4 linked regions of the Daphnia pulex genome follow. The protein of the gene in region 4 binds, or shares a complex with, the protein of the main gene of each other region. Links are inferred from orthologs where the notes say so. Each region holds a gene or a part of one and is shown on either strand. Other genes may lie near its edges. The genes, in order: pre-mRNA-splicing factor RBM22-like, U5 small nuclear ribonucleoprotein 40 kDa protein-like, pre-mRNA-splicing factor SPF27-like and pre-mRNA-processing factor 17-like.

Region 1 (5,484 bases), on a different chromosome or scaffold from region 4:
CTTGTCAAATATTTTCTTAATAAATACGAGTGTGAACCAGAGTTTGAACACCATATTACTAGTGTGACTAGAATAAATGAGAAATGGTATTTCATAGCAAACAAATGTAGAAACAGTAGAATTCAATTATATATTGGCTATATCCCTTTTTATTATTAGGTGTGTTTCAACTCTTCAAGGAAAGCAAAACTATTTTGATGTGGTTATTTTAACAATTCCTGTCCCTCAAATTCTGCAATTGGGGGGTAGTGTAAAAGACATTCTTGGTAAACGTTCATCTTTTCTATAACTTATATAGTTTAGTTATCTGTAATCTTACTTTTTAATTTGTAGAAAATAACCATGAAATGAAGACAAAATTGGAAAATGTCAAGTACAGTGCACGTTATGTAATGAGCTTGTATTATGATCACGGCACTGAACTGAATTTACCATTCGATGCCTCCTACATAAAAGATGATCCTGTATTTCGATTCATCGCAGTCGACAATTTAAGAAGAAATCGGCGTAAGTTTTATTTTAATCAAGCCGAATGAATCGAACGTTACCAACTCATATTGTTAATCCAGCTGACGTCCCAACATCTGTGATTCTTCACACATCTGTCCCCTTCGGTGTACAACATATTGATCTAACCGTCCCAGAAGCGGAACCTATTCTAAAAGAGGTAAATTATGCATTATAACATTTTGTTTTAAAATGTCCGAGATTATATTTTGAATTTTACATTTTGATTAAGGCTTTAAAACGATCTTTCCCCGATCTACCTTCACCAAAGGCATTTAAATGCCATAAATGGAGATACTCCCAGGTTCTCACTAACCCTTTTTCATTTCTGTGTGCTTGCAAATTTTACCTTTTTATTTTATTTGCTTTTAAGGTAACGAAACCGTATGAAGATCAGCCGGGTGTACTTGAGATCTCCCAGGAACCTCTTCTGCTAGTTGGTGGGGATGGATTTACTCATTCGAACTTCGATGGTTGTGTATCGTCGGCTGAAAAAATCATTCAGCACTTCACATCAAAAACAGCCAATTTATAGCGCAAAACCTTATATGCAAAAAAACTTATAGATATTAAATAAAATAAATTACAGGACATTTTATCGTGAGAGTTTAAATTTCAAAAACGGAAATACAAAAATTACAGACAAGCATATCGTAATTCTGAAAATTTCTGTCGTTATGTTTGTCGTGTCTTATTAATCGCGCCAAGACGAGTCGGATCCTGAGAAGGGTAATGGATGCCCTGCTGACTTTCGGCAAGAAATACTGGAAGTTCCGCCTGATTTGGTGTGGGGTTTGGTGGTGGTGGAGCGATCAATGGATATGTGGATGGTGGATATTGAGGATAAGGAGATGGGTATGCATTGCTTGTAGGAGCTAAATTGAAAAAGTTATGCTCCAATTCTTCAGGATGTGGCAAAGCTCGGGGAAGACCCGGAACAGGTTCAAAACGAGCTCCAGCTTCAGTATTTGTTGTTCCAGGAACATTCTGTTTGCCTTGAGATTTACCCCAACGAATAACAAGCCGCCGATTCTAAATTTTCAAATAATTTGAATAAGTTTTGGGGAATTGAAACCAGAAAGTAAAAGGTCCGTACCTGAATAATTAGTTTGTTAAAGGTTCCTTCGGCAGCCAATTCTGCAGCTGAGCGGGTGACGTATGTTACAAAAGCACATTGCTGTCGTGAAACGATAGTGATGGATCGAATTTCACCGTACTGATAAAAATGATCTCGTAGTTCTTTTTCCAACATCTTCTCTCCAATGTTACCCACATACAAAGTGGTAATGGACTTATCTTCAGGAGCATCCAAACGAGGAAGAGTGGCAGCCCGACGCATGAGCTTTTCTGCCACTGGATCATTGGTGCCATAATAACGATCTTTAATGTTCTGATCAGCCAATGGATCATCTGGATCAGTGGGTTTTTCATGACGGTAAGGACATTCTTCTCCTCTTTTGCATTCACCTTTCACCCAGAAAGAACAAATGTGTGGCAAGTTCCTACGATAATATGGTGCTGTGCGTGCCAATTTCATCAGAAGATCTGATGGAGGATGAGATTTTCCTGGACCACCAGCAGCTCCAGGTACACCATGATCTGTTGCAGAAAGCTGTCAACAATAAAAATGCATGAATGTAAAAAATTCATTTCAAAGCAGCATTCAACTTACTTGTTTCTCAGCATTTTGAATAAAATATTCTTTGTTCACATCAGATTTTGCAATATTGTCTTTAATGTTAAGTGCTTGGTCTCTGACTTGAATGGGAAGTCCATATTCAAGATCTAATAAGCAAGTCTGGCAGACATTTTTAAGTTTTGCACAAGTCTGACAAATTTCTGTTTTCTTGAAGCGCATACGGGCACCAGGGCACCATCTGAAGGTTGTGAAAGGTCTGACACAAATCTTACATTCACTGCCAAATTTTTCCTTCATCTAAAAAAAATTAGGGGAACCGAATTACGAATAAGAATTACGAAAAACATAGTTAACGTATGCATTTTTAAGTTAAGTTTCATTCACCATTCGAACGTAAGGGTTGTCTCCTAGACATGTTGGGCAGAGAATTGGAAACTCCTAAATTATATTAAATTAATTCACTGGTTAGTATCAGTCTCAATTTTAAACTATCAAAATAGTATAATATTACCGAATCTTCCCAACTTGTACGTCCATAAGTGTTTGATGATTTCGACAGCGCCATTTTGAAACGTAAAATCTGATGCCCCAAAGGACCACACGATAACTTTAAAATCGGTCTGTCTCGGTATCGATACTAACTTGGATCGATATATATTGTTTACTTACTTCATTTTATGGAAATTTATGACAATTTTTATTTAAATTAATAAATGTGTGTAATAATTTAAATAGAATTGTAAAAAATTTCCATAACATAAAGTAATTAAATATTATAAATAAACAATGGATATCGATTTAAAGTTAAATATCGATAAACAATCCTTTTTCCTTAAGTGTTTGTTTTTGACGTCTGAACTCTGAATTGACATGGATATCCAAATACTGGGGGGGGGGGGGGGCGGGTAGGTGAGCTGGATAAGGCGTCGCTTGGTGATCGGGGAGCACCTTGAGACCTGAGTTCGACTCTCCCGGTGAGCATAGTTGCTCCCATACCCGGGCACTACCACTACACATACAATACAGATCTCTTCCTAAAAAGGCAGGCACTAGCGCCAAATCGTACACAATGATGGTACTTCCATCCCCCTTCTTGGGGCTCCTTCCACACAATACAATACAACACTTACACTGCTCACGCCATCGCTCAAAAAAATCAATAGAAAAAATATCTCGTCGGTGCAAGAAGGTCATCTAGTTGAAGACCAGATGTCTGCTAAACATAGCAGACGCACCTAATCCTACCAATACCAATACCAATCCAAATACTGGAATCAAATTTTACCCAGGATTTAGGCGAGATAGAGAAAAGGGTGGATAAACTAAACAAAGATGGTAAGTAACATTATTTTTTAAAGTAATAACTCATTCTTAACCTCATTCAAACTTACCTTTAGCAAAAGAAATCCAGAAGTTGAAGAAAATTGGAACTACCATGGCCAGCCTGAAGCTTAACAGGCGACTAAAGAACCTGTCTATGTGTGTAAAAAAACTGAAGAAGACTACGCTAGAGGTAAGTTTGGTAAACTTTGATTTATATACACAGTTCCTTCTAAATCATGGAAGTCGAGCCACCCACCAACCCTCAGCTGCCAACAGCAATCTTCCCTAGGTGAATAGCATTGTTGATCGAGGGGAAAGAAGTCCTGCAATCTGCAATCCACAATGCTTTTACCTGGGGTATGATTTTCTAATTCATGTTCATGTTTTAAATTTCAGGACAATCAGGCTGAGGGAGTATTGGGTCAAATTCCTAGTTCCAGCGTTGAAGTTTGTCCCAACTCACCCATTCTCGCATGTGATTATTGTGGGAAGGTAACTATTTAATCATCCACTCTTACATATTTCAATTATAATTTTTTTTGTAATTTCAGACCTTTACGTCAATCTTCAGCTTGAGTAGCCACCGCATAAGCCATTATCGGATGCCGAAAGGTTATGGTCTTTCAAGAGAAAAGAACATATGTTATTGCCAGCCCCCAACTCATATAGCTACATGCAAGGTAAGAGAACATTTTAATTTATAATGAACTGTTAACTTACTTCATTTTTTAGAATTTTAGAAAGTAAACGGTTTCCTCCGGCTCCATGCTGTCTGAATAGGGGATGGCGCAAAAAATTAAAAAAATAATAAAACATATTAAAAATAAGAGAAAAAATAAATAAAAAATATCTCCCAATCAAACTATAGCTGGGAAAAATTTACTTTACGAGTTATTCACGTTTAAAGTTTCGACTCCCTGGCTCTGCCAGTTTTAGCTTAGCTCTGGTCAGTTTTTACAATGGGAGCAGATCACGTGACCGGCAACAGCCAATAGAATGCGTATCCCTGAAAACAACTTTTCATTCTTTTACCACATGGCGGTAAAAAAACTAGATTGCTACAAGCTTGACGCGACACCTTGCGGACACAGACGAAATGACAGATGTTCCCCGCTTCTATTGGTTCCCCCGATCACGTGATCTATTCTCATTGGTTAAAACTGACCAGCGGTAATGCACCAAGAATCACGTGATAAATAGGCCACCTCCTGCGTTTTAGAGGTGGGCCACGTAGTCGAAACTTTCAACGTGAATAACTCGAAAAGTAAATTTTTCCCAGCTATAGTATGATTGGGAGATATTTTTTTTTTCTCTTATTTATAGTATGTTTTATTATTTTTTTTATTTTTTTGCGCCATCCCCTATTCTCAATACCGCGTCGTTATTGCATCGGCCGTTTATCTCAAGATCATTTGCTTCAGCTGAAAATTTTGATAGAAAACATGCAATAAAAATTACTCAAATAAAATTGGTCTTATCTGGTTTACCTAGCAACGAAGCTTCGAAAGCTGCTTGTAACCCTCCGTCCGCCATCATGGAAATCACCAATAAATCGGCCATGAAACGTCCACCACCTTAAAGACAAATCGAAATGAACTTAGATGATGGCAAGCCAATGAAATGCATCTCTCTGTGGACATACAACTATCATATTCGTCGTCTCTTTGCAAAAGTGTGGGCAATGCTGAAGCTCTTTCTGAAGCAGTAGGCAAAAGAAGACTCCAAGCCAATTGGAGAAAAGCTTGAGCTGTATCTTGTACGGCACCCAGATTTGGATTTCCCCTGCAAGAGCAATAACGTGGTTCTTCAAACGCTGCAACACAGGTAAGGAGCAGCCGTGATGCCCAACATCAATGCCCACTTGATCTCCGTGACTCAAAATCCTTTGAAACTAACGAATGAAAAAGCAAAATTCATCCTGAGCAAGACTAAACTGACCGGTTCTTGATCGTTATAGCTGATTGTGTACACTTTGCCATCGCCGGAAAGAAACAGGAGACCAAGGGCTGTGCAGA
Region 2 (5,392 bases), on a different chromosome or scaffold from region 4:
GATTACTACTAGCAAAGGACATTCATTCATGTTCAAACTTCAGGTTAACCTTAGAGGTACGACCAAGGTCGGCACATGCAAATTTTCTCGTTTCTCTCCTATTTGAGAATGAAAAACAGTTACATAAAAGAGCTGCAATTTCTCATATATCTGCCAAAATTGTTAAAAGGTTCTTTTTCTTTTGGAAAAAATAAAACCGTTCGGGAAAATCGAGCGCAGAGGAATGTCTTGATTTGAACATCAGACGCCATATTTCCTTAAGGGGCTCATGGGAGACCCTCTCGATGGTGCTGATGCTAATGTCATCAACAGAACTCGAGAGACAAACACAAACAACTTAGCTGAAATTTTTTAAAACTACAAGAAAACAAAACTTCCACATCATTAAGTAATCTCTCTCTCTCTCCACAAAACGTTAGTTTAAAAAGAACGACAAAATAAAACAAAACCCAACAAAATGTGTCGTGACAAAATTGTGAGCCTGGAATCAAGGGTGTGGGAGTTTTATGATAGTCCAGATGTGTGAAAAGATCAATAAAAAGTGGTGGCATTCTTACCTTGGCAACCGATGATGCACTGTTGATGTTACTGCTAACCGAATGTGCAGCCAAAAAGGCGATGAAAATCGCCATATGTATTCTGGGATTCATTTTTGAGAGAATTTCCTGAGCGTTTGAGAGTCTGCCTTACGTGTGTGTGAGAGGGTGGAGAGAGAGATTTTTTCAGTATTATTTATTTTAAGAGCCGGATATCCGTTTCTAAAGTTTTCTTCCAAGATTTTTGTGTTATTTCAATACAAAAGTGGAGAACGTGGTCGAATAAATTAGGATAGTTGCAGCCTTTTGTCCGTTTTTCTAATTTTCTAAACACAGACGGTGATGCTCTCAGGTCAGGCTGGGCATTTTCTTTCTTTCTTTCACACTTCTTCTCTCTCACAGGCGCGCACTCAACCACACAGTTCACTGGTGAAGCCAAAACGATGGCCGAGTTTTACTCGTCGATTCGGGGACGGAATGTTAAATATCAACAGAACAAAAAGAGTTGCCGGGAATTGGCGTGATTTCGAGACACTTCTCGATGTAACCAAAGGCCGAAATGGATTAAAAGATCCCAACTCACGCCCAGATCATCAAACACACCAGCCGAGAGCCGCCATTAAACTGAAGGGACTGGATTTTTCTTTGTGTCCCTCCGCCGCCATTGGGTACCAAAAACTCTGCCATCTGGCGGCAGTTTTCAGCTCCTCCCCACTTTCTCCTCCAACAACATAGACGTGGAAATTATACGGACGAATGTAAACCACACACACGGGAAAGAAAAGGAAAAACAAAAATCAATCTCATCATTTCCTCATCATGTTGGGAAAAAATGAATGACTCAATTTAGGTCATGGATTCAGCGCTCAAAATATCTTCATCTCGAGAGACTAGTTTTGTTCTTTCCGACGCACCAAATTTCGTTGGAATGGAAAAGAAATCCCAGACATAGCGACTATCACATATACTGGTGAAGTCGTTTTCTTGCGAGTGTTAAAAAACTAGAAGGTCCTCTGTTCTATAGTCACACGGACACACAAAACTTAAGAAAATATCGAGGGGAGAGATTTAATGTTTGTTGTTTCTCCCTCCTTCTTCTAACACTCCTTTTCTTTTTTTACGATCGTGGGTTCGCCTGTTTTCCGGCCCCAATAATACCCATTGTTTTCCAAGACTGCGCGGGTGTTCATGAAATTCCTCGAGTTACAACTTCTTTTTCCCAAAAAAAGAAAGAGAAAAAGGGTTCGGAAATTCTTGAGCGATATACCACTGTGACAGCTTTTCCCCATCTCAATTTTTATTCTTTTATTATACCAAAGTCTTTCCAAGTTTCCAACAAGATTTGGAAAAGGCGACCACTATAAAATATAGATCTAGCAAGAAAAGGCTTCTGCTCCGTCAGTAGTAGTTGTCAAAACTTTTTCACTTTTTTTTTCTACAACTTGAAAATTTTCTTAAAAGTCTAGAAGCCGGAGCAATGGCGCTTGTGTCAGTAAACAATCCCAGCAATAATGAATTGGTGTCGGCCACCTCGGGTCAAGTGGCCCTGCAACAGGTTTGATTTATTTGTGTTTTATTTATAAACTTTTAAATGAGCCGAATGCATCACAAAAGAGAATTGCATCCAACCACATGCTGACCAGCTTGTGTGTTTTGTTGTTGTAGATGCTATGATGAATTCAAATGTGATATTGACTTTTTCAATAAACAGGGACCAGCAAGAACGTCTAGCCTCATGGCTCCTATAATGCTCCTGGCAGGACATCCTGGAGATATCTTTAGCCTGAAGTTCCATCCTGACGGCCAGTTTTTGGTTTCCACCGGGTTCGACAGACAAATATGTAAGCATCATATATACATTTGAGCATCTCTACTGTTTGGATAATCAACCTCTTGTTCAACAGTTTTGTGGAATGTTTATGGAGAGTGTGAAAACTTTGCTGTGTTGTCTGGTCACACCGGAGCAGTAATGGATCTTCAGCTGTCTACCGATGGTGATACCATTTACACTGCTAGTACAGACAAAACCATTTGTTTGTGGGACACCAGAACAGGAGCTAAAATCAAGAAACTGAAAGGTATACCATTGTCACTGTCCCATTATTTAGCAATTGAACCCAACAACAATTTGTTTCAACAGGCCACTCCTCCTTTGTCAATGCTATTCATCCTGCACGAAGAGGACCTCCTCTTCTCTGCAGCGCCTCAGATGACTGCAACATCAAAGTCTGGGATCCAAGAAAAAGAACCGAGACAGTATCATTAGATAATTCTTACCAAGCGACTTCCGTCACCTTCAACGATACCGCCGAACAAGTCATTTCCGCAGGCATCGACAACGATGTTAAGGTGAGTTCGCAAAATTCAATTGTTGTAATAGAGAGAGAGAGAGAGAGAAGAAAAACTATGGGACCAATTTCCAAGAATTTGAATTAAGCCACCGATTCGGCGAACTTCATATTCCGTGTGAGTGGGAGAAAGTCACAAACTTGAGTATTTTTCTTACAGAATTGATTAAAGTTCTCAGTATTTTTACTTGATGGCTTCAAGAGAATAGTTTGGCAAAAAAGGAAGGACCTGCAGTCATATTCTGTCTTTGTTGTAAAAACTAAAGTTTCGACATTGTTGATTGTTTTCTACTTAATATTGAACCATATTCGTGCAAGTTCTGTCTTACCCTATCATCGAGTTCATTTTCCTTGAAGAGTGCAAGGGATTTCAACTTTGGTATTCTGATTATCGCGTGTCTCACCTTGATAAGGTCACCAAGTCCTTCCTTACTTCCAGGGCCCCTTCTCTTTGATATATGAATGGGTTCACTAATGTAAGCTCGTAGGCGAAGTTTTTAAAATTAATTCAAGTAATTTCAGCAGTAGGGTCTCGTCAAATGTCCTAATTCCATCCTAATTACTGAAGATGCGCATTTTTGTGTTTTGTCAGTTTGAGGCAAATGTGAAACGCTGGAAGCGGATTCTGATACTTCTTTGCTTGTCAGATGGTTGCACATTATCGATCAAAACTTTTCCCCGTAATACTTATGACAATTTTGCGACATCTTTAGGAAGAATTTACTCTGAAAAATAGATAATTTTCACTTTTTATCGATTATCTTTTCGTTCGAACTAAACCCATGTTAAGTTTTCTCCTTTTTTTGGAAGATATTCATTTTAAAACCTGAAAAGTAGTTTTGCATTTGCGATATTTCAACTGGTCCTGGCCTTGAGCTATTCACGTGAATATGGAGAGATAGGTAAATCATACACTTTCCTTTTTAGGTCTGGGACTTGAGAAAAAATGCTCTCCTCTACTCCTTGAAGGGCCATTCCGACACTGTGACCGGCTTGACTCTCAGTCCTGATGGATCTTACGTGTTGTCAAACTCGATGGACAACTCTTTACGTGTCTGGGATGTACGACCTTTCGCTCCTCAAGAACGTTGTATCAAAATGATGGTTGGCCATGCTCACAACTTTGAAAAGGTATATACAATGCCGGCGAATTTCTCAATCCATTCTAATACCTTGTGTAATGTTATAGAATTTACTTCGCTGCTCATGGTCACCTGACGGAACCAAAGTTTCAGCGGGATCTGCCGACCGATTCGTTTACATTTGGGACACTACATCTCGCCGCATCATTTACAAATTACCTGGTCACAACGGAAGTGTCAATGACGTTGTATTTCATCCTAAGGAACCTATTGGTAATTTACGCAGCAAATCAACATCAAGGACATCAATTAATTTCAGATTTTTTATTTTGAATGAAACATAGTTGCATCCGGTGCCAGTGACAAGCTGATTTACCTAGGCGAAATTGACGCTTAATTAGGAAAGGTTATAATTTTTTTCAGTTGAAACGATGGCAAGGATCGAGGACGAATAAACAAATAATTCTTTTACGCATATTTACAAAATTGCATTTAAATTAATCGACATTTAAAGGCCAAAAAAAACTTAATTGGATTGTTTGCTCGTTCTCGAGTCCATTTAGAGATCATCACGTTAAGAAAATGCAATTATGAATGGAAAAACTAGGAAGAAAAGGTTAGCTAGGTACGAATAATGTTAACGGCACGTGAGAAAAATCAATGGATGAAGTGCCATCCTCTGATCAAGTGATGACTTGCGAGAAGGTGTTTCAAAAGTGTCTGAGTGCTATTGTTCTGTCACGTCTTCGCAGTGACAAAGATAGCGGAAGTGTCCTCCTTAGCGCTTTAGAGAATTCAGTACTCCTGAGAATGTAGAGCAAAGGGCTAATGACTGCGTGCAACAGATGCAGTTCACGTACGTATGGAATGAGTGCCGTGAATGTTGAATCGCTGCATTGGCGTGGATTCATTTGACAGATAACGATGGCCAGGAAAACAAAAGTTAATGGCAAAGCGAAGAGAATTAGCGGAACTATTCCAGACACGAGAGTGACGCTCGCTTCCAATTCTAAACGAGAAATAGTTTTATCTGGCAAATGCACAAAGTGCTCATCCGGTTTGAGTACAGCGTTTGTTGTCGGTAGGAGCGTTTTAAAGCGTAAATAATGACGAGTTCTAACATACACGACGACTTGCGCAACAGTTATGATGCCAACCAGGACGAAATGAGAAAACGTCACCCACTTCACCACAGACACTTCAACGGAACATACGGGAAACTGAATTTTGCCTAACCAATAGGGACTAGTTTGCATGAGCAACACCACAATCCAAGACGTGATGATAAACATGACCACTCCGACGACGGTGATTCGTCTTTGATGCCAAATAGGATAACTTATGGCGATCCAGCGGTCGGCCGTTGCCATCAATAGATTGACCAGCAGATTTGTATAGGGCGTATCGACAAGGAGGATGTATGTCC
Region 3 (4,280 bases), on a different chromosome or scaffold from region 4:
CCTGCGCGGAAACGCCTGGTCTTGTAAACCTGTAAGAAATCAGATTAATTAGACGGTGTTCACACATAAAATCATTCATGACTCAGATTTTGTTCAGAGCTCTAAGGTGAAATCATTTACTCATAAACACAGACCAAGAAGCAACTCATCATTTTCCCGTGATAATTATACATAAATATCTAGAAACAAACCTTCTGGACATCAGTCCATGCGCGAAGACGGCGCAACAACACGACGGCCTGTTTGGTTTTTTTGTATTCTTGAACCTTGTCCGACACAACCAAAGGCATCTCCGGGACATCATTGATCAAGTGACCTGAATGTAAAAACATTTTAGTTCTAATTCAATATGACCTTATTTACTACTATCATTGTATGGATCAGGGACTCATGGTATGACTTCATGCTTGTCAGAAACACAGGAAACACATATTCATCATGCTAGTATGGAACCGTGCAATGATGATCTTGGCTCATATTTACCTTTGGACATCACCAAAGACGGAATACCCGAAGCAGCGACGGCCGAGCACAATGCAAAACGTTTCTGGTTAACGTTGATCTTGCGATGCCAACGGCGCCAGATCTTGGTGGGGGCAAACATACGTCCACCACGACACATGTTACCATAGGCACCCTGACCGGAGCGATGGGTACCACCTCCTCGGACACGGGGAATACGAGCCACAGCACGACCAGTACCCCATGATTCAGCACTTGTCTGATGACCTGTAATAGGAAAGAAGAAGATTAACAATCACACCATTACATGTGTGTATGAAGTTTGTCCGGTTGCCCAACCCCTCACTTTAAGAAAACAAAGCGAGAAAGGCCTCAGGGACTCGCTTTAGTGTTGCACACTGCACAAGAAGAGTCTGACGTACAATTACTCCTACATTTCAATGCTGTGTGCCATATAATTGGCATACAAGTTACCTGCTTTCTCGCTGACACAATAAGGGTGACGACGATTCATTGACATTTGTTGTTGAACAAAGCTGACAATGTCTGGCCTAATGGGAGCCCTGAAGATTGCAGGGAGCTGGATGCTGGTTCCAGAGGCCTCAGCCTTCTCATTGTAAACGGTAATCAACGGCCTCGCGACCACCTTACTCTGTAAAACAAAATGGATAAACAAATTAGATTTAAGATTTTCAAGAGACAACACTTGAATTTACACAAACTTTGAACTAGATGTACCAATTAACCAAAACATAACAATAAACCAAGAACGACGTTGAATTAACATAGAAAAACAGCAAGAGCCCATTTGACACGAGGACGAAACCACGCTGTGGGTAACATTTTACTCCCAAACTTTCGCCATAGATTAACAAGAAAATGGCTTAGAAAAATATACGCACGCAAGAATTTTCTTAAAACACGTTTCTCCCGTTAACCTTTTTACTTACTATTCGTAAATTAATGTATGTAAAAACTAGTAAAATGTTTGGAGAACCTCATGCTTACCATCTTGGTAGATAGTCCTGACCGGGTAAAAAGGCGAATGAAAGAGACCCACAGTAATGGCGACAAAGAGGAAGTCTACAATGTTGCCGGCATACTTTGAGAATTGCCGCCCTCTACGTTCCGTTTTTTACTTGATTATTTACTTGAAAAATTACAGATTATTCACTGAACTGATCCACTGTTTAATAACAAAAATTATGGAGTTTCAATTGATGATTTCAAACATTTTAATGGAGTGATTAGTTATAAAATTTTTAATATTGTTTTATTTGTTTCACAATGCAACGGTGTCCAAAATATTATTGAATAAAATTTAATATACCAATTTATTTTCATATTTTATTCATTTAAAGGAAGTTAATGATCTTTATTCATTATCAAAAAGTAAGTTTATGAATAATTAGACATAATGAAAATCAATTACTAAAACTGTGGCTCATATTTATTAATCCAGCAGAAAATCTGACAATCTTGCTGACAACAGACAGTTTGACACAAATCACAAAATGCCGATTCCGTCAACAAACATTTCCACGCCGAACGAAAGGATTTTGGTTGACGATTTACCATACGTTGACCAAGAATATGGAGATCCAACTCTACGAGAAGCGGTAAGCAAAACTTATACATTGCAAACTTTGAAATATTTGAATCGCTTCGAATTGAGGCTTGGAGATTCTTGTGTTAGCCTAGTCATCTCTAACATCAATACATTATTGTACTAGACCATAGTACTGTATGTTGCTGAGAACTCTCGCTCTTGTCCAATAGTTGTTTAATGAGAGTAATTTCTTTCTATCAGGCACTTGCATTGGTTGATGAAGAGACACGAAGATATAGACCAACCAAAAACTACCTAGAACATCTTCCTCCACTTGAGCTGTCAGCATTTGAAGTAAGAACTGTCTGCATGGAAGTAATGATAGGAGTGTGTAATAATTATGGAAATTATCATGTTCATAGACTCCTTTGATGAAGACTGAATTTGAGCGACTGTCTCAAAAGAAACCAATGGATGTTTTGAGCATGAAACGATATGAACTCCCACCCCCATCTGCTGGTCGTCTAAATGATCTTCAAGCATGGATAGAGTGTGTTGATAATTCAATGGCTCAATTAGAACATCAAACAACAAGGTTTGTTTTCTAAAAAAAAATTTTACAGCAACCATAAATTTAAAAAAATTTCAATTAAAAAACAGGATTTTGAACTTGGAATTAATGTCAGAGTATGGTTGTGAATCATGGAGAATTTATAACACTGTATTGTCCCAGATGATCCAACAATCTCAGAAGCATCTTCAGGAATTTAAGTATGATTTCAGTAAAGTAGACACCATATTGCAAAATACACTATTATATTTTTCTTTACAGGAAACAAATCCAAGATGTCAATTGGGCTAGAAAAAAAGATCAGACAGAGGTTGGAGACAAAATGAAACATTTGGAAGCCACTTGGTTTGGTTTGATCACTAAAAACTACGAAATCGAACTCGCGTGTGCTGAAATTGAGAGACAGTTAGCTTCACTTAATGAATGAAATTCAATGTAAACCTACTTTATCGAATTCGGATAATACACTGCAACAGGAAATTGATTCATCCGAGATTTTCAGTAAGTGACAACCAAAAAGATTTGGTTGTAAGGGAACAAAACAAAAAAATAGTATAAAGTCATGCACTTTCAGATTAGCTTGTCTTATAAATGGTAAGTAGCACGTTCTGATTTTATATATCACACAATTGAAAACGAGAAGAAGCGTATGAGTACAGCAAAGCGTAATTCAGAGAAGGGTAAAAAAAAGGGTAAGATCATAGGGAAGTCTCACTTGGGGCTGAACTTAAAGGTAAAGGGCGGACGGAAGACTCATCTTCCAGCACCATAACTCGTTGCTTTAGGACGCGAACCTGATAATCACATGACATTTTTATGTCGGTCACACTTGATAACTCGTAATTTTTCTCTATATACCTGCATTGCATGTCTTTCCGACATGTTGACCATTTGCTGCTCTAGTCTTTTTAATCGAGATTGGTACTTTTTCTTAGTCCTCTCAAGAAGTTGGACCAACGTCCTGAAAATTAGTTTACGGATATTACATATTTGTTGAAAACGTAACATATTGTAAGTTAAGCATTTAAAGATATCTTACGCGTTGGCTTTCTTGACATCGCTAACTAGTTCAGCCGACTGCTGACTACGGATTTCTGCACTTGAAGTGACGCGTTCAAGGGCTCCCGTCAACTCTTGGATTTTCAATTGGAGTCGCTTTTCTCGAACTGTTAATTCGTCTCCATCAGCTCCTTCAATTGAGGACAGAGGCTTTTCGCCTGATGCATCTGTGTTAGATCCCTATCAGTGAAAAGTGCGTTTAAGTAACCTAAATCATTCTCCATTTCAATATCCAAAAAACCTACGCCTGTGTTAAGACTTCGAAGTTGAGCGGCAGTTGCTTGTTGTTGGGCTTCATGAGTAGCCCGCTCTTTTTCAAGAATATAAACCTGAGTTCGAAGTCGTGAACGTTCTTCTCTCATGGCCATCAATTCCTAGAGAAACGATAGGATTAAATCTATTTTTACTCATTTATACAAAAGCAGATGTTCACCTGCATGATGACGGCCATCTCTAGATCAATTTTCCGAGCTTCAGCCAAAGGTAAGACTTCTTTAGGCAAAGGATCAACCAAAACTGACTCCAGGGGAAGCGAAACTTGTTGAACTGTGTTTTCCAAGCTTGATCTATCACCTACAAAAGATAATGAGAAAATGATTAAGTAATTTGCTTAAGTAAGCCTGGGCACAAAATATGTTA
Region 4 (5,459 bases):
TCAGGCATTCAGTACATTAGACGTTGCTTCAATGAATGCCGTCGAGGACATTACTATTACTCGCGATGTTGGGGTTAGAAATCTAGCCATACTATTCTCCTCATTGCCGCAATTGAATCAAACAGTCATAATGCACTTGCTAGACCATTTGATTTGGTAAGTTCGTTTTGTCAAATACATTTTAGACTGTAATGATACTTACCTTCATCATTATTTTTTTTTAGTGTCAACTGTAAAGAAGTGAAGAACAAAATGTCTCTCCATAACCTAGCTACTGTATTCGGCCCTACTTTGTTACGACCAGCTCCTACCGATACTCCGGACAGTCTTGATCAACTCGCAATGGGAACAATTGACGTGATGGCGCAAGCAGGAATTCTCCACTACTTTCTGCTTAGGAGAGCACGTCGACTTCCGATTCAGTATCCTCCCGTCTGATGTTATAAGGTTCAGCAGCTACTTAAAATATCGTGATTTGGGACCCGATTAGTAAGTGAACCAACTTAAAGATTCTCATTTTTTATATCGAGAAAAAAACAGGGACCAACTGTCCATTAAGTCAAAGAGATGCAATATTTTTTTTCTTTTTTTTTTAAATATTTTGTTAATTTTCGATTTCCCCCACAAAACATCAACGGGGCGTGTTACATTTTTAGATCTTGAACCAGAGCTAACCATTTTTATACAAAATGTATTGCCATAAAGAATAAGAGTCTTAGTTTAAATGTTTTTGTGTTTCATTGTGTCTTTTGTGAAAGAGGCTTAAGTACTTCTGGGCGTTTGTCTTGTGTTCGTTGACCTTTGATAGAATGTCAAGAAATTCTTCGGGCATTTAAACGGATAATTCAGTTACGAATGTAACTGTAGACAACGCATATCTTTTCTTTTTTTGTGTGTTACGTGAGTACAGTACAAGCATTTGTATGTGTTAAAAGATTTGTACTTCTCATAAATCATTCACGTGAAATCGGAGCGCCAAGCCTTTTAAATTTGTCCATTTTTCAAATTGATAAACCCTGAATGACACGTATCTCTAGTCCCAAAACTTAATTAATCCATCCCATCCAGCTGATGCAATTTTCGATGTCTCGTGAGGATGCCATAAGACGGAACTACAGACAGCTTGGTGAGCCTTCCACCTAGCCAGCACTCGAGTAGTTTTCCAGTCCCAAACGAAGACTTTGCCGTCAGCGTCGCCGGAAATCACGTAACTAAAAAAAAAAGAAAATAAACACAGTTAAGAGGGGACGAACAAGAATCAACAATATAAAGATACTGCAAGAACATACCTCATTTCAGGTGAGAAATCAAGACCACACGCATAACCAGCAACCATGTGTCCCTTGAAAGTTTTCTTTCTGTTGAGTTTGAAGCGGTTTAGTGCAGAGTAAATGACGATTTTGTTATCCATGCTTTGACATCCAAGCCATTTCAAATTTGGTGCCAGCGTTACAGCAGGCATGGAATGCATAGTGGGATCGGCGATGTATTTCATGTCCACAGGAATATCCCTGTAACAAAAAGGTGTCTCAATTTCTGTCTTTTTTTTTTAGAAGCTTCTTCGTTCTTTTAATCTTACCATTCCCAAACGCGTAAACTCTTGTCATCGGATGTAGACACAAATCTTCGATTCTCATCGACGAAAGTGATTGTGTTGACGGCACCTAAATGCCGATCGTATTCTTGAACAGCTTCACCGGTGCGAGTGTCCCACTATATTAATACAAAAAAAAAAGATTAAGATTTTGAAGTAGGAAATAATAGAATGACTAAAAACTTACGCAGACAATTTTCTTATCCGCCATTCCAGCAACGAAAAGATGTTGCTTATCTTCTTCAGGGTTGAATTTGACGCAGTAGGGCACCTTCTTATTCGTAAATCGAGAAATAACCTGTCCTGTTTCTGTATCCCATAATTTGATGTAACGATCATACGCTGCAGAAAGGAACTTATCGCCAGTGTTGTTGAAGCTTATGTCTCGCACAGCTTGCCGATGGCCAAAATAAGTGCGGACGCATCTTCTGTCCTTGTACACCTCCCAGATCTAACAAGTTAATGCGTTGAAATAACTAAGAATTTGAGGATAATTTAGGCTCACAAATGTACCTTGACTCTTCCATCCATGCTGCACGAAAGGAGCAGATGAGCAGTCTTAGGAAACCACCGAATCTGCGCCACTCCCTTATTGTGTCCTGTCCAGGCGTGGATCTGTTTTTTCGGGATGAAACATTTATTAGGTGGGGCGTCTGAACGTAAGTTGACGCCTATGTCATGAGGTGCGTGTAAAAAGTTTCGGCCTTGGTAGTCCACAGGGTCATCAACTGTAAATTTCGATTATTAATTAGTTTATGCACGGTCTTCATAATATTTATTAAATATTCCTTACTATGGAGAGTTGTTTTTTCTTCAATTGCTTTCTCCTCATACCTGGGTTTACCCCTTTTCTTCATTTTGGCTAAATATGCATCAAGTTCTTCCTTGTCAGCCTAAATTTTTAAAAATTATATGAATATTTCATTATACAAATTTAAATATTTCATTTACCTCTGAAGGCTTCGCACTTCGATTTTCATTTTCATATGGTGCCCATGGTCCTCTGTATCCTTCTAAATCAGCAGAATCATCATTCTTTTCTAATTTTCTCTTATTTGTAGCTCTGCTGGGATCTGGTCTATTGGGGTTCTCAAAGACTGTTCGGCCAGAGGAAGATTCAGCTGATTCAATGTTTCCAACATAACTATTTCCTTCATTTTGAGTTAGACCAACTGTTGGATCTAGGGCATAACCTGAAAACGTCAATGTTTAAATTATTTGAACGAAAGCAAATTAAAAAATATGTATACAAACCAAAACTGGTGAAAGTTTTTCTTTGGGCTTCAAATTGAAATTCACTCAAGTGGGCAGGTTCGACAAATCCAGCTACTGTATTTCTGTGTGCTCTTTGCTGCCCTGTTTTGAATGGACAATCTGGTCCGAGTGTAGGTGCATAGAGTTCTTCTGCTTTGGGATTATAAAGCAGTTCTTTGGATGTCGGATCCACATGTCGTAAAGGATCTAATTCTTCCTGTAAAAAGAATTTGTTTAATTTACCATTTCAACAATTAGTTCGAAAAAGAAAATCAAGGCTTACATTCGGTAAAACGTCGGGTGCTGCAACTACTGAAACGACCAACTTCTGGTTGACCAATTCAGTCGTATTAATGGGATTAAGATGGGAATCTTCGCCACTTCCACTGTCATCGTCACTACTTCCATAGTCACGTAATGCTGCCACTGAGGCCATTTGGAAATACTTGTAAAATAAGCTCAAAATCTCAAACTAAACTTGCTTATTAACCGCGAAAAGAAACAACCGTAGTCCAAAACGTCAAGAGCATGTTTGAGGCAGAGTTGCCGGAATGCTGGAGGAGTCAACAAAATAAGAAGGTAATATTTTTTTTTACATATGTGATAATATGAATTAATGAATCGCCAAAAATTTTTTCTACGTTTTATTTATATGATCGAAAAATTGGATTCTGAGATGATTTATTGCGACTTTTCTCTACTCTGTGGCACCTCTGGACGTGCAATACAGACATGTATAGACTAGCCTCAATATTGAATATACCGTTGTTCTTTTAGAATATTCGAATGGAATGATATTTCGAAAAAGGCTAATAACTAAAGGTGATCGATTGTCAGTTACAGAAATATTAAATTTATCGTAGGAAGTTTCTAGTTATAACTTAAAATTAAGAAGATGATGCGGGACTTTTAGGCTTTAGTCTTTACAGCCCGTCTCGCCGTCTCGGTACAGGTGGCGTTGTATAGGAAAGTGACAACCAATGCGTGGCCGGTCTTATTCCGTCTATTTCGACCTGCCAGCATAGCAGAGCTGAGAGCTTATCAGTTAGCAGTCTGCTTGCCTCTCTGATTCATTGCCACAACAGCATTTGGAATTAACAGAGAGTTGTGTTAGCATGTCAGTTGTAAGATAGGAATACAAAATACAGTCAGCAGATAAATCATGCTACTTCAATCCGGGTGATTTCAAGTAAACGGCGTAACCAGACCAATTAATTAAATTGGATGGAAATTAATAGATTTGTGTGTGTGCTTCGTCTAGTTCATTCTTGTGCAATTCTTGTTTTGTGGAGAAACTCGTTTCGAAATGGGTCTCGAGAACATTTTACCTACCTATCATAGGTCGCCAACTAAGTTGCCGATATCTCTAAACAAGTTGTGCCGTTCAAAGGAGAGAGTTTTACTGGGTTTTGTGTGTTTTGGGCTTGTAGTTGCTTGTTTTGGAACAGTTTTTTTTCTTCCAGAGTTACGCACTGGTATTGCATTGCCATCAATAAATAGTGTGTACAAGGTTTATGAACATGTACAAAAAGTTGGCCCTGAGTTCATATTGCAGTTACCTCCATTAGCAAAGGATGATGTACATGACGGCAAATCTCAACAACATCATGGCCAAATTGATAAGCCAGATTTCCATTTATTGGAAGATCAAGCCAGATTAAGAGCAAAGATTGAAACAGAAGAGAGACTAGAACTGGAGCAAAACCAGTTGAAAGTTCTACCCAAACCAATGATTCCTTCAAGTAAAAGTGAAGCTGGTGATTCTCGGTATCATACAAATTTTTATAATTGTGTAAATTAAAATAGCTAACAATATTTATTTTACTAGTTCAACCCTATCACATGGGTCATTCAAGAAAGAAAGTGATAAAAACATTGCTGACCAACCCAAAATTCGGCTACCTAAGGTTCAGGGTGGAGACGACGTTGAACCAGACATAAAAGCGAAAAGAGAAACAGTTCGTAAGGTAAAAAAAAAAATCAATAGTTTCCTTTACTTTTAATATTGCATGGACGTTGAACTTACAGTGTGTTGTTTTTATCGGAAAAATAATAATCTCTAGAATCGCTTCCGTATTCTGTTATTTTTTAACAAACATATCATTCGGATTTTAATTCCGGAGTATAATCTCATTAATCACATTGGATGAAAAAATGTAATCTTGTTTGTATAGTGTAAACCTTATAGGAATATGAAACAATTTCTAAGCTTAATATCTGAAGCTCTAACAATAGTCGGATTTCAGAAAGTTCTACAGCGGAACCATGAGAATTCTAAGATGTAGTATTGTAAAAGTTTTCCCCTCTAATCGGTATCCTTTTTTTTAACTTAGATGATGAAACACGCATGGGATAACTACGCAACCTACGCGTGGGGTAAAAATGAGTTGCGGCCCATCAGTCACAAGGGCCATAGTGCCTCAATTTTTGGATCTGGTAATTTTGGCGCTTCAATTGTTGATGGTCTCGATACTCTTTACATCATGGGATTCATGGACGAATACAAGCGCGGTCGAGACTGGGTGGAAGAACATTTGAATTTAACAGGAGTGGTAATCATTAGAATATCTTACCCTAATCCTTTTCTCAGTGAATAACCCTCGTATTTGTT

Evidence for each region.
Region 1: pre-mRNA-processing factor 17-like (region 4) and pre-mRNA-splicing factor RBM22-like share a complex: the UniProt entries of both Homo sapiens proteins name them as parts of the postcatalytic spliceosome P complex. The link is inferred for Daphnia pulex from reciprocal best matches to the Homo sapiens genes CDC40 and RBM22.
Region 2: pre-mRNA-processing factor 17-like (region 4) and U5 small nuclear ribonucleoprotein 40 kDa protein-like share a complex: the UniProt entries of both Homo sapiens proteins name them as parts of the postcatalytic spliceosome P complex. The link is inferred for Daphnia pulex from reciprocal best matches to the Homo sapiens genes CDC40 and SNRNP40.
Region 3: pre-mRNA-processing factor 17-like (region 4) and pre-mRNA-splicing factor SPF27-like share a complex: the UniProt entries of both Homo sapiens proteins name them as parts of the postcatalytic spliceosome P complex. The link is inferred for Daphnia pulex from reciprocal best matches to the Homo sapiens genes CDC40 and BCAS2.

Annotation. Positions count from the first base shown.
Region 1 is NC_060024.1:7,162,654-7,168,137, reverse strand, and holds pre-mRNA-splicing factor RBM22-like, read right to left. Parts: upstream 3,582-5,484; 5' UTR 3,538-3,581; intron 3,482-3,537; exon of another isoform or gene 3,462-3,481; intron 2,806-3,461; exon of another isoform or gene 2,788-2,805; 5' UTR 2,712-2,787; coding exon 2,658-2,711; intron 2,585-2,657; coding exon 2,531-2,584; intron 2,444-2,530; coding exon 2,180-2,443; intron 2,120-2,179; coding exon 1,604-2,119; intron 1,540-1,603; coding exon 1,183-1,539; 3' UTR 1,101-1,182; downstream 1-1,100. Other genes in the region: renalase-like, read left to right, coding at 1-86, 160-266, 334-507, 570-667, 740-811, 881-1,042; uncharacterized protein LOC124200920, read left to right, coding at 3,582-3,659, 3,866-3,961, 4,021-4,149, 4,961-4,987; uncharacterized protein LOC124200919, read right to left, coding at 5,011-5,043, 5,112-5,360, 5,439-5,484. UniProt on the Homo sapiens protein: Required for pre-mRNA splicing as component of the activated spliceosome. Involved in the first step of pre-mRNA splicing.
Region 2 is NC_060027.1:3,203,546-3,208,937, reverse strand, and holds U5 small nuclear ribonucleoprotein 40 kDa protein-like, read left to right. Parts: upstream 1-1,670; 5' UTR 1,671-2,013; coding exon 2,014-2,091; intron 2,092-2,247; coding exon 2,248-2,377; intron 2,378-2,440; coding exon 2,441-2,614; intron 2,615-2,676; coding exon 2,677-2,885; intron 2,886-3,811; coding exon 3,812-4,015; intron 4,016-4,073; coding exon 4,074-4,239; intron 4,240-4,310; coding exon 4,311-4,363; 3' UTR 4,364-4,443; downstream 4,444-5,392. Other genes in the region: syndecan-like, read right to left, coding at 558-650. UniProt on the Homo sapiens protein: Required for pre-mRNA splicing as component of the activated spliceosome. Component of the U5 small nuclear ribonucleoprotein (snRNP) complex and the U4/U6-U5 tri-snRNP complex, building blocks of the spliceosome.
Region 3 is NC_060018.1:4,113,394-4,117,673, reverse strand, and holds pre-mRNA-splicing factor SPF27-like, read left to right. Parts: upstream 1-1,793; 5' UTR 1,794-1,854; intron 1,855-1,924; 5' UTR 1,925-1,976; coding exon 1,977-2,081; intron 2,082-2,272; coding exon 2,273-2,365; intron 2,366-2,433; coding exon 2,434-2,606; intron 2,607-2,671; coding exon 2,672-2,782; intron 2,783-2,843; coding exon 2,844-3,009; 3' UTR 3,010-3,066; downstream 3,067-4,280. Other genes in the region: uncharacterized protein LOC124189006, read right to left, coding at 1-29, 192-316, 484-729, 937-1,114, 2,038-2,069, 3,298-3,376, 3,441-3,543, 3,622-3,821 and 2 more. UniProt on the Homo sapiens protein: Required for pre-mRNA splicing as component of the activated spliceosome. Component of the PRP19-CDC5L complex that forms an integral part of the spliceosome and is required for activating pre-mRNA splicing.
Region 4 is NC_060023.1:9,544,856-9,550,314, forward strand, and holds pre-mRNA-processing factor 17-like, read right to left. Parts: upstream 3,394-5,459; 5' UTR 3,285-3,393; coding exon 3,132-3,284; intron 3,066-3,131; coding exon 2,849-3,065; intron 2,788-2,848; coding exon 2,546-2,787; intron 2,488-2,545; coding exon 2,388-2,487; intron 2,323-2,387; coding exon 2,108-2,322; intron 2,046-2,107; coding exon 1,782-2,045; intron 1,714-1,781; coding exon 1,580-1,713; intron 1,512-1,579; coding exon 1,290-1,511; intron 1,212-1,289; coding exon 1,034-1,211; 3' UTR 676-1,033; downstream 1-675. Other genes in the region: active breakpoint cluster region-related protein-like, read left to right, coding at 5-156, 225-438; mannosyl-oligosaccharide 1,2-alpha-mannosidase IA-like, read left to right, coding at 4,155-4,615, 4,677-4,815, 5,182-5,400. UniProt on the Homo sapiens protein: Required for pre-mRNA splicing as component of the activated spliceosome. Plays an important role in embryonic brain development; this function does not require proline isomerization.